Callithrix jacchus: one gene and its partner. The protein of the gene in region 2 purifies or fractionates together with the protein of the main gene of each other region. This does not show direct contact. Links are inferred from orthologs where the notes say so. Each region holds a gene or a part of one and is shown on either strand. Other genes may lie near its edges.

Region 1 (4,538 bases), on a different chromosome or scaffold from region 2:
GGAGTCCTTTTGGGGACTCTTTCTGGCATAATAAAAATAGCACCGCGCAAACTGAATGTTCCCTCTGCAGGTGCCATGCCAAGCACTACCCATATTAGCCCGTTGAAGCCTCATCATGCTGTGCCTGGTTGCTGAGTTGCCCCCCATTTTACAGACAAATCAACTGAGACACCGAAGGTGGAGTAAGTAACATGCCCCACACCACGAAGCAAGTTAGTGGTGGAGCCAGGACTTCAGGAATCTGGCTTGAGCCATGAAGTTATGGACACAGGTCCTGGGGGTGCTGCTGGGGTTTTACTCTGAGTCCCCAGATCAATGTGGCCTTGAGGATGCCTGTGGGGTGAGAACCTTGTGGCTCAGTCTCCTCGTCTGCCCAACAGAGATGATTTCCCCCCTTCCTCCTGTCCCTTTCTGAGGTCAGTCATCAGGGAACACAGGCTACTGCAAGGTAACCCCAAGCATCTTGTCATTTAGTGTAGTCACAGGCATGGGCTCATCTACAAAAGGCAGCCCTGGAGGCCTGACTTGAGGCCCCAAAGCCCTGCATAGCCCCTGCCCTGCTCCCTCCCCTCCAGCCGCCTCAGCCAATGCTGGGTCCCTCTGCAGAGCAGCTTGTTTGGGGCCACAGTGGAGGCTTTGAGGTGGGCCCGTCTGGCTGACACCCATGCAGACCCACCTCCCTACTTTGTGCCCCCTGACCCTGAATTCGTAATCAGTCAAGGCCCAAGGCGGGCATCTGGAAACCCTCTCTCCTATTTCACCAGGGGCCTGGCTCCTCTTCCCCAGGCTGGCTGGGGCTGGTCACAGGAGGCAGCCCCCAAACTGAAGTTCAAATGTCTCCATAGGTATATGTCCTTGAGCTTTACTGAGCAAGCCCCCATCCCTTAAGAACCTTCCTCCATCGGCCACATGGTGGCTCATGCCTATAATCCCAGCACTTTAGGAGGCCAGGTCAGGCAGATCACTTGAGGTCAGGAGTTTGAGACCAGCCTGGCCAACATGGTGAAACACCATCTCTACTAAAAATACAAAAATTACCTGGGTGTGGTGGTGCACACCTGTAATCCCAGCTACTCAGGAGGCTGAAGCAGTAGAATTGCTTGAACCTTAAAGGCAGAGGTTGCAGTCAGCCAAGATCATGCCACTGCACTTCAGCCTGAGTGACGGAGCGAGACTCCATCTCCAAAAAAAAAAACCTCCTCCCTCAAGAATAAAGTGAGCCTATGTAAGATGATGTGTGGAAACTCTGAGAACCACCACGCCACAACCACAAAAACAAGGAAACTCACTTAAAACTGGGCCTGGCCCACAAATCCATGGTGGTGGCCTGAGCCGCTAGGTCCAAATGCCTAGAGTTTGAAATTGTGAGTCAAATGCTAAAGAAAGGGACCTGTAAATGGGGCTTAAGGTCCCAGTTTCAGCTCCTGCACCTGCAGAGCTGCGATCACAGACCACTCTCCACACTGTGACCATGCTTAGGCCACAGCCTCATACGTACCCAAAGGCCTCGCATCGCTTCTGGTAGATATCCATCTGGTGCTGCAGCGGGGCCGGGTCGCTCTGGCCCAGGCGATTGATGTCAAGAATGGCCACGAGGTTGTCCAGTTTGTAGATGCTGGCGAAAGCCATGGCCTCCCACACAGAGCCCTCTGACAGCTCCCCATCTCCCAGCAAGCAATAGACTCGGTAGCTGCGAACAGACAGTGAGTCAGCCTGGTCCCTCTCACCTGGACCCAACTGGCTCCTGGCACCACCCCTTCAAGGAGCCTGCAGATGGATTATAGCATCTTCATAAAAACAGAACATCGCATGATCCTTAAACCAGCTCTCAGTCCGGGACCCAGCCCCCACCCCTCCAAGGAGCCTGTACTCTGGGTAAAGGAGCAGCCGTGTGTGGCTATGTAGAACAGACGGTATTTACACTCAAAGCACAACAGTGTCACCAGGTCCCTGCAGCCCACCCAGCCACACCCCAAGAGAAAATGGCCATCAAGAAAGCCGTCAGGAGCTCAGAAAGAAGTACTGATTGTTAAGAAACAGAAGTCGAGGACAACAGGGATCTGGCTGATAAGATCTAGAAAAATGGGGGTTGCTGGAGCAAGAGGAAAGTGAGCAAGAATGGGTGGGTGGGCTTGAGACACCTGCTGCAGGGGACGGGCCCCACTGTGAACCAGAGGTTGGAGGAGGCCCTGGGACAGCTGGGTGGTCCAATGGGAAAAAGGGAACCTTGGGAACCAAGCTCTGCTTCTGCTTGGAGGAGAGAGCTGGACCAGGGAGGGCTGAGGCACTCCAGGCAACACCACGGAGCAAGAGGGCTCAGGCGGAGGATGGAGCATGGCGGGCCCTTGACCCCAAGATTGAGGCTGGACCTGGCCCTTTTTCTACCCTAGGGGCCTTCTCCCCTCAACACAGGCAACTGTGATCTTTTCAAGACAGTGAGACATGTTAAAAAGAGCACAGGCTGGATGTGGTTGCTCACACCTGTACTCCCAGTATGTTGGGGGCTGAAGCAGGCAGATCACTTGAGGTCAAGAGTTTGAGATCAGCTTGGCCAACATGGTAAAACCTCGTCTCTACTAAAAATACAAAAAAATTCAGCCAGGCATGGTGGCAGGTGCCTGTAATCCCAGCTACTCGGGAGGCTGAGGCAGGATAATCACTTGAACCCAGGAGGCAGAGGTTGCAGTGAGCTGAGATCGTGCCACTGCACTCCAGTCTGGGTGACAGAACAAGATCCTGTCTCAAAAAAAAAAAAAAGCATTGAACTTGGGATAAATTACCAGCAAACAGAACCACAGAACATTCCCTAGCCCCAGGGGAGGGATGGGCGAGGGGGTGAGGCTAGAGGAAGGGAGACCAGTTCAGGGACTCTGAGCCCAGCCTGGGAGACGTGAGGGGATGGGGGTGGTAGAGGGATGACATCAACAGACACAGGACTTGTCTGAAGGTCGCGCTGTCAGGAAGTTGCTGAGCCAGGATGCAAACGCAGGCCCGACTGCAGCCAGAATGTCTGCTCCTTTCAGCGTAGGCATGCACATAGGGTGAGGAGTGGCGGGACCTGGGCACCTCCCCTTACCCTGCCCAGTGTCTAGCTGTGTGGCCCCAGGAAATGAGGCTGGTGCCTGGTTGGGCTCAGAGGGGACACAGCTGCCCTCCTGCTCCTGCAGTAAAAGGCCCTCAACCTGGCTGCAGGCTCAGCAGTTCAAGCCTCCAGGCCTGTCTGCTGCTGCAGGGCCAAGGCAGGGCCAGCCAGCCCCCGGAGCAGTCAGCATGACTCAGCACTTCCACATGCCAGCAGGTTGGGAGCGCTCCCTGCAGCCTCCCCTGCCTCAAGCTACTCTTCTGTGGCCTCCACCAGGCCAGGCCAGGCCTCTGCTTCCATGGCCAAAAGGACAAAGCCTCAGGCCCACACCTCAGAGGCCCCATTCTGTCCCAGCCTCGCCTCCTCTTTCCCTTATGGGTTTTGAGGGGGCCAAGACCCTGGAGGGGCTCCAGTCTGGCACAGCAGCTCCAGAAAGGGGCCACATGATGGGGCTGAACCGGAGAGGCCTATAGGGAACTTGACTTCCCAGAAAGGGATTCCAGGGAAGCCAAACTGAGGTTAGCATGGGAGGCCCAGCACAGCTTTGGGCTTTGAGACTAGGCACAAGGCTAAGCCCTACAGGGCCAACAGACTCAGGTCAGAGGAGGCTCTGAGGTCCCGAGGAAAATCCAAGGAAGGGGTTGTGGACAGGAAAGGGGGCCTACAGGAGCCTAGGCTAACCCTGAGGCTTGGTATTGCCTGAGCTGTTAGAGTTAGGGGTAGGGGGCTGCAAACATCAGACATGAACTAACATGAAGAGAAGGAACCCTAAGCAGAAGGTCAACATTTGTTGCAGAAGGATTTGGAAACTACCTTACATGTCCAACAGCAGGGCTGGCTAGATGGATTATAGCATCTCCATAAAACAGAACTTTACATGATCATTAAACCAGCTCTCAGTCTGGGTGCAGTGGCTCACGCCTGTAATCACAGCACTGTGGGAGGCTGAGGCAGATGGATCACCTGATGTCAGGAGTTTGAGACCAGCCTGGCCATCATGGTGAAACCCCGTCTACTAAATATATAAAAATTAGCCAGGTGTGGTGGTGCATGCCTGTAATCCCAGCTACTCAGGAGGCTGAGGCAGGAGAATTGCTTGAACCCAGGAGGTGGAGGATGCGGTGAGCCGAGATTGCATCACTGCACTCCAGCCTGGGCAACAGAGCAAGACTGCATCTCAAAAAAAAAGAAAGAAAAGAAAAAAAAACCAAAAATCAGCTCTCCACAGTTAATGTCATGAGAAAATGCTCATGATAGAAGGCTTTTGGTTTAAAGTGTAAAATTTGCTTTTATATATATATATATTACACGCGCGCACACACACACACACACACACTAGGATTACAAATTTGTAAGCTTTTTTCATGATAACATGGACAAAACACATCATTAGATTTAAATCGGAGGTGGGAGGCAGTGTGTTAAGAATACGGAAAATGTTCATTTCTTAATACCA
Region 2 (4,991 bases):
TGTTTTTTCTTTTTTTTTCAGATGGAGTCTCACTCTGCCGCATAGGCTGGAGTGCAGTGGTGCAATTTCGGCTCACTGCAACCTCCACCTCCCGGGTTCAAGCGATTCTCCATCAGCCTCCTGAGTAGCTGAGATTACAGGTGCATGCCACCACACCCAGCTAATTTTTCACATTTTTAGTAAGCACGGGTTTCACCGAGTTAGCCAGGATGGTCTCAATCTCTCGTGATCCACCTGCCTTGGCCTCCCAAAGTGCTGGGATTACAGGCGTGAGCCACTGCACCCAGCCACGTATTCTTAATTCGCAGTCAGAAACTATCCTATTCCACTTCCCGTGGGAGAGGACTTATTCCAGTCTAACCAGAGATACTAGTGTTTTCTAAAATCTTTTCACGCACTGAAACCTAGATAACCTTTCCACTCTACCACGAAGATAAACAGGATCGCCATTCAAGTAATGGTGACAGGTAATGGTGCTCCGTGGCTATATACAGAAATCAAGAAAGTTACAACTAGATCTGACTAAAATAGACACAGTCATACAACACGTTAGTGTCTCTTGTTTTTAGCTTGGTTTGTTTTCAAATAGGCAGGGCCAACAATTAAGAAGCATTAGCCTTTAAGAGGTGACTTTCCACTGGAAAATACCACTGCTCAAACAAAGTCTTCTGGCAATTGCTGCCTTTTAAAATTGTTTTCTTTTTGAGAACAGATGCCATGACCCTTTTACAACCTTTAATTTTGAAAAGAACTCAACTGTTAAAAGTTGTCCCTCAAACACTCTATTAAGACCACAGAGCCAAAAAGAGCAGGTTCTTTCAAACCTCCATTTAACAGGTAATGCATTGGGAACACGTAAGCGGCTGTGCCTGGGTACAACCCTACAGGGACCAGGCTGTTAACTTAGGAGAATGACACAGGCCTGGGAAGTGAAAAAAATACACGAACTGCTCCAGCTGTGCTGCCCTTGGGCCAGTGAAGGCTCAGTATGAAGAGATCTCCAAAAACTCTCCAAGAGAAGCTAGGAGCGTTTTAATTAATAGGTGAAAAATTCTGATTTGCAAAAGCTGGCAACGAGTCCAAGATTTTAAACATAGAATGGGCCAAGCCAAGTAGTTTACAGCCAATTATCTCTGCATATCTGGAGAGCCGGAATGCTCCACTCTCCAAGCGTCTTTCTCAGGTACAACGGGCATCACCAAATGAAGCCTGGAGCTTAAGAGACGGAACTCTGCAAGCTGCTCAGGGAAGGGAGAAAATGACAGAAACCTGGGTTCACGCACGGATTCTCAATGGCCCAGGAGAGGGGATTCCTCAGAGGCTCTTAAAACTAGTACTGGTGAATTATGTGGGGAGAACTCAAGAGGGACACAACCAAGTGACAAATGAAACCTGCAAAATGAAGTCAAATGGCAAAGAACCTTTTCCAGAAAATCTGGAGGCCTATGAAAGAAAAAAGCTGGCCCGGCGCGGTGGCGCACGCCTGTAACTTCCACCACTTTGGAAGGCCGAGGCGGGTGGATCACGAGGTCAGGAGATGAAGACCATCCTGGCCAACATGGTGAACCCCCCACCCCGCCTCTAGTAAAACAAAAATTAGCTGGGCATGGTGGTGCACGCCTGTAGTTCCCAGTTACTGGACAGGCTGAGGCAGAAGAATCACTTGAACCAGGGAGGCGGAGGGTGCCGTGAGCAGAGATCGCGCTCCTGCACTCCAGCCTGGGCGACAGAGCGAGACTCTCTCAAAAAAAAAAAAAAAGCTAAACTTGTATCTCCCTCACATAAATTTCAGACACTTACACAGACTGTTCCTGTCCTCTCCTGTTTCTGTACATCCCTTTAAAGACGGAATCTCATTCATACGGTAAATATCCTCTCGATTTTTAAGCCGAGTACGAGACAATTTTCCACCAGTTGGTAAGTTCGCTAAGGTTCTGGGGACACTGTTATCACAACCGCCTTTCTGGCAACTCGTTTTGCAATTTTACTGATAACAGTTCTGAAAATATTTCTGTATATTTTATCCTACAAGATTCGTTGAGAAGTTTGTCTCTGACCATCTTAGCAACCTGCCTAATGGCAGAGCAATTTTAAAGCCACTTTACAGAGAAGTTGGCTTCAGAAATGCTCCGACTAGTTATTAAGTGCCAATTCGGTGTAATGGAAACTCCAATTCTTCTAATTTGCAAACCCTAAACCCCACCCACTGACCTCAAAGAACAGTTCTAAATCGTGGGTGCACATCGAAATCACCTTGGAAACTTCTAAAACCTGGCATTACTCACCCTGCACCAGGGCAGGTTTGGATGTAATTGGTCTGAGGCTGGGCTCTGGTGTCTGTATTTTTACCAAGATCTTCAAATGAGGTAACTGTGCACCCAAAATTAAGAATCACTGCCCTCGAAAATCCCCGAAAGGGTCAGTTAAATCTCTGGCTTTCGGAGCTTAGGAAGAGGAAAAGGACCTCTGTCCAAGGCTACCTTCTCTACCCTTGCAGCCCAACCATGACCTAGAACAGACCTAAAACAGTCAGCAAACTTTCTTGCAAAGTGCCATACGAAACGGTCTCTGCTGCGTATTTTTCTTTTCCAAAGTCTTTTAAAGATATAAAAAATATTCTTAGCCTTGGAGCTGTATACAAAAGAGGAGACTCCCTGACCTAGAGCGCTGAAGTCGGAAAATGGAGAAGGATGCGAACACCAGGGGTCCCCCCGCGCAGTCGCCACCCCCGGGACCCACAGAACGAGAACACTCGGCGTCCACGGGACCCACAGAACGAGAACACGGCCAGGCAAGCGAGGAGCACAGCGGCTCCAAGCACCACAACCGACCCAGCGGCGGGGGTCCACCGACCCCAGAGGGCAGCACGCCCGCGCCCGCCCCCGCCCCTCCCCGGCCGCGGCAATCCCTCCCCGCGCTCCCGCCACGCGCAGGCCCAGCCCCGCGGCGGCCTCAGTCCCACACCCCGCACCCGGGCCCGGGCCCGCCCGGTGACTCAGCATTTAGCGGACGCCGCACCGCCGTGGACGAAGGCACCGACCGAGCGGTACCGACCGGGGCCGGGGCCGGGGCCGGGCGCCGGACCAGGACAGCCCCGAGGCCTGGCTGACGGCCCGCTCCAAGTACAGATGCGTGGGCGGGCAAGCGGACGGGAGAGGTCTCGCCACGAGCCTCCGCCCCGGCCCTTGCCTTCTGCTCGAAATTGATGGTGCCCTGCACCGGGCCGTCGCCCTTCAACACGCACACCGCCTTCATCGCCATCACTCGCGAGGCCACGCCTGGATCCGGGTTCCAACGACTGCCAGAGAAACCACAGACGCTGCAGAAGAGAACGGCGCAAACCCAAGCGAGAGCGCCGCGGGCACTTTATAGGCCGGACCTACGTGCACCACCCACTCTGGCCCGGAGCCAATCGCCCTGCGCGCGCTCAGCCCGCCTTCTGCCGCAGCCTCGGGTCGTCAGTGGCCGGGAATGACCGGGGGCGGGGCCAAGGGGCCGCGTGCGCCGCAGACTTCCCCCGCCCCACAGCCCGGAAAGGTCCAGAAACCCGAAACGTGGAAAAAAACCACATCTTTCTCCAAACGGGCGCGTCGCCCGCCGAATGCAGGACGCGACATTGGCAAAATGAGGTACACATGGTACGCCTTGGCGATCTGAAGTCACTTTATCTAGAAATGTCATTAGTTATGACTGATTTTGGTCACAGCGTCTCATTTGTTACTCAGAAATTGGGACGTACCAAGATGGATGCTTTTGTAGTTTTCATTTTTTTGTCTTGGTTTTCAGTTTTCTGAAGGTGTAGGAAGTCGTTACACCTCAATCCCCGGCCTCCCCTTTTTTTCCCCTGCAATTTTTTTAGTCCTAGCACAGAGTTTATTTGGTTGGCAGAATTCCATACGCCTACATTTTTCCTCTGCAGGACCACAGCCCTACAGATAACCAAAACGGTAACTAGGTGGCTTCTACGCATCTCCTGCGTTTTTGTCTGGCTCCAAGGCCACAACACTCAAGGAGAAGGATAGAATGATGACATAATTTATGATCCCTCCATAAAACAGGATGATAAAGATGACTTATCTTTCAAGGGGAGTATTTCAAAAGCATATTATGAAATGAGAAAATAGTACAAACTACTTTTTCGGGGGGGGTAATTTTTTGTTTGTTTTTGAGACAAATTCTCGCTCTGTCGCCCAGTCTGAAGTGGAGTGGTACGATCAAGCTCACTGCAGCCTCGACCTCCTAGGTTCAAGCGAACCTATTGCATCAGCCTCCCAAGTACCTGGGACCACAGGCATGCAACACCACACCCGGCTAATTTTTGTATTTTGAGTAGAGACGGGGGTTTCACCATGTTGCCCAGGCTGGTTTCAACCTCCTGAGCTCAAGCCAGCCATTTGCTCTCTTCGGCCTTCCAAAGTGCTGGGGTTACAGATGTGAGCTACCACGTCCAGCCTAGCATTTAGTTTTGAGCATGGCAAAATACTGAGACTTAATTCAAGTCCAGTATGAACAACAGAAGCTACTCCAGCCTTGTTTGGAGTACACTATTATCTATGTATTTACTTACTTATTATTTATGTTATTTAGACCCTCAGACTCTAATGCATCCCCTATCAGAGAAACACAATTCACATTTTTTGATCATCCTCCAGAAAGTATACATAATTGTAGTTTTGCTTGTTGTATTTAGTAGTTTCCAGATAATTAGTATATTCTAGACGGTTACATAAACAGTTCAAACGCTTGCCAAATGGCCTTTGCCCAAGGCTGAAGTTTCTTTGGGTTCCAGGAAGTTCAGCAGATTTCAGTTCATTGTAAACTTGCCAAGGGAGCCACCCGTCGACACGAGAGCTGCTTTGGGACGGTGAATTACTCTTCTTTTGAGATGGTCTGATGATGCCAGCGTGGTGCCTTCCTACGACGATCCTTACACCTGAACAAGGAAGTCCCATACTTTAAAGGGCCCTGTTCTGTCCCTCTTCCAGCATCAA

The links. The genes of interacting proteins can lie anywhere in the genome.
Region 1: the proteins of SOD1 (region 2) and TKT purify together in Homo sapiens (affinity purification with mass spectrometry; 3 studies listed by BioGRID, with this or other methods). This does not show direct contact. The link is inferred for Callithrix jacchus from reciprocal best matches to the Homo sapiens genes SOD1 and TKT.

The regions. Positions count from the first base shown.
Region 1 is NC_133516.1:35,779,010-35,783,547, forward strand, and holds part of TKT (transketolase), read right to left. Parts: intron 1,691-4,538; coding exon 1,499-1,690; intron 1-1,498. UniProt on the Homo sapiens protein: Catalyzes the transfer of a two-carbon ketol group from a ketose donor to an aldose acceptor, via a covalent intermediate with the cofactor thiamine pyrophosphate.
Region 2 is NC_133522.1:37,804,230-37,809,220, reverse strand, and holds the start of SOD1 (superoxide dismutase [Cu-Zn]), read right to left. Parts: upstream 3,345-4,991; 5' UTR 3,262-3,344; coding exon 3,190-3,261; intron 1-3,189. UniProt on the Homo sapiens protein: Destroys radicals which are normally produced within the cells and which are toxic to biological systems.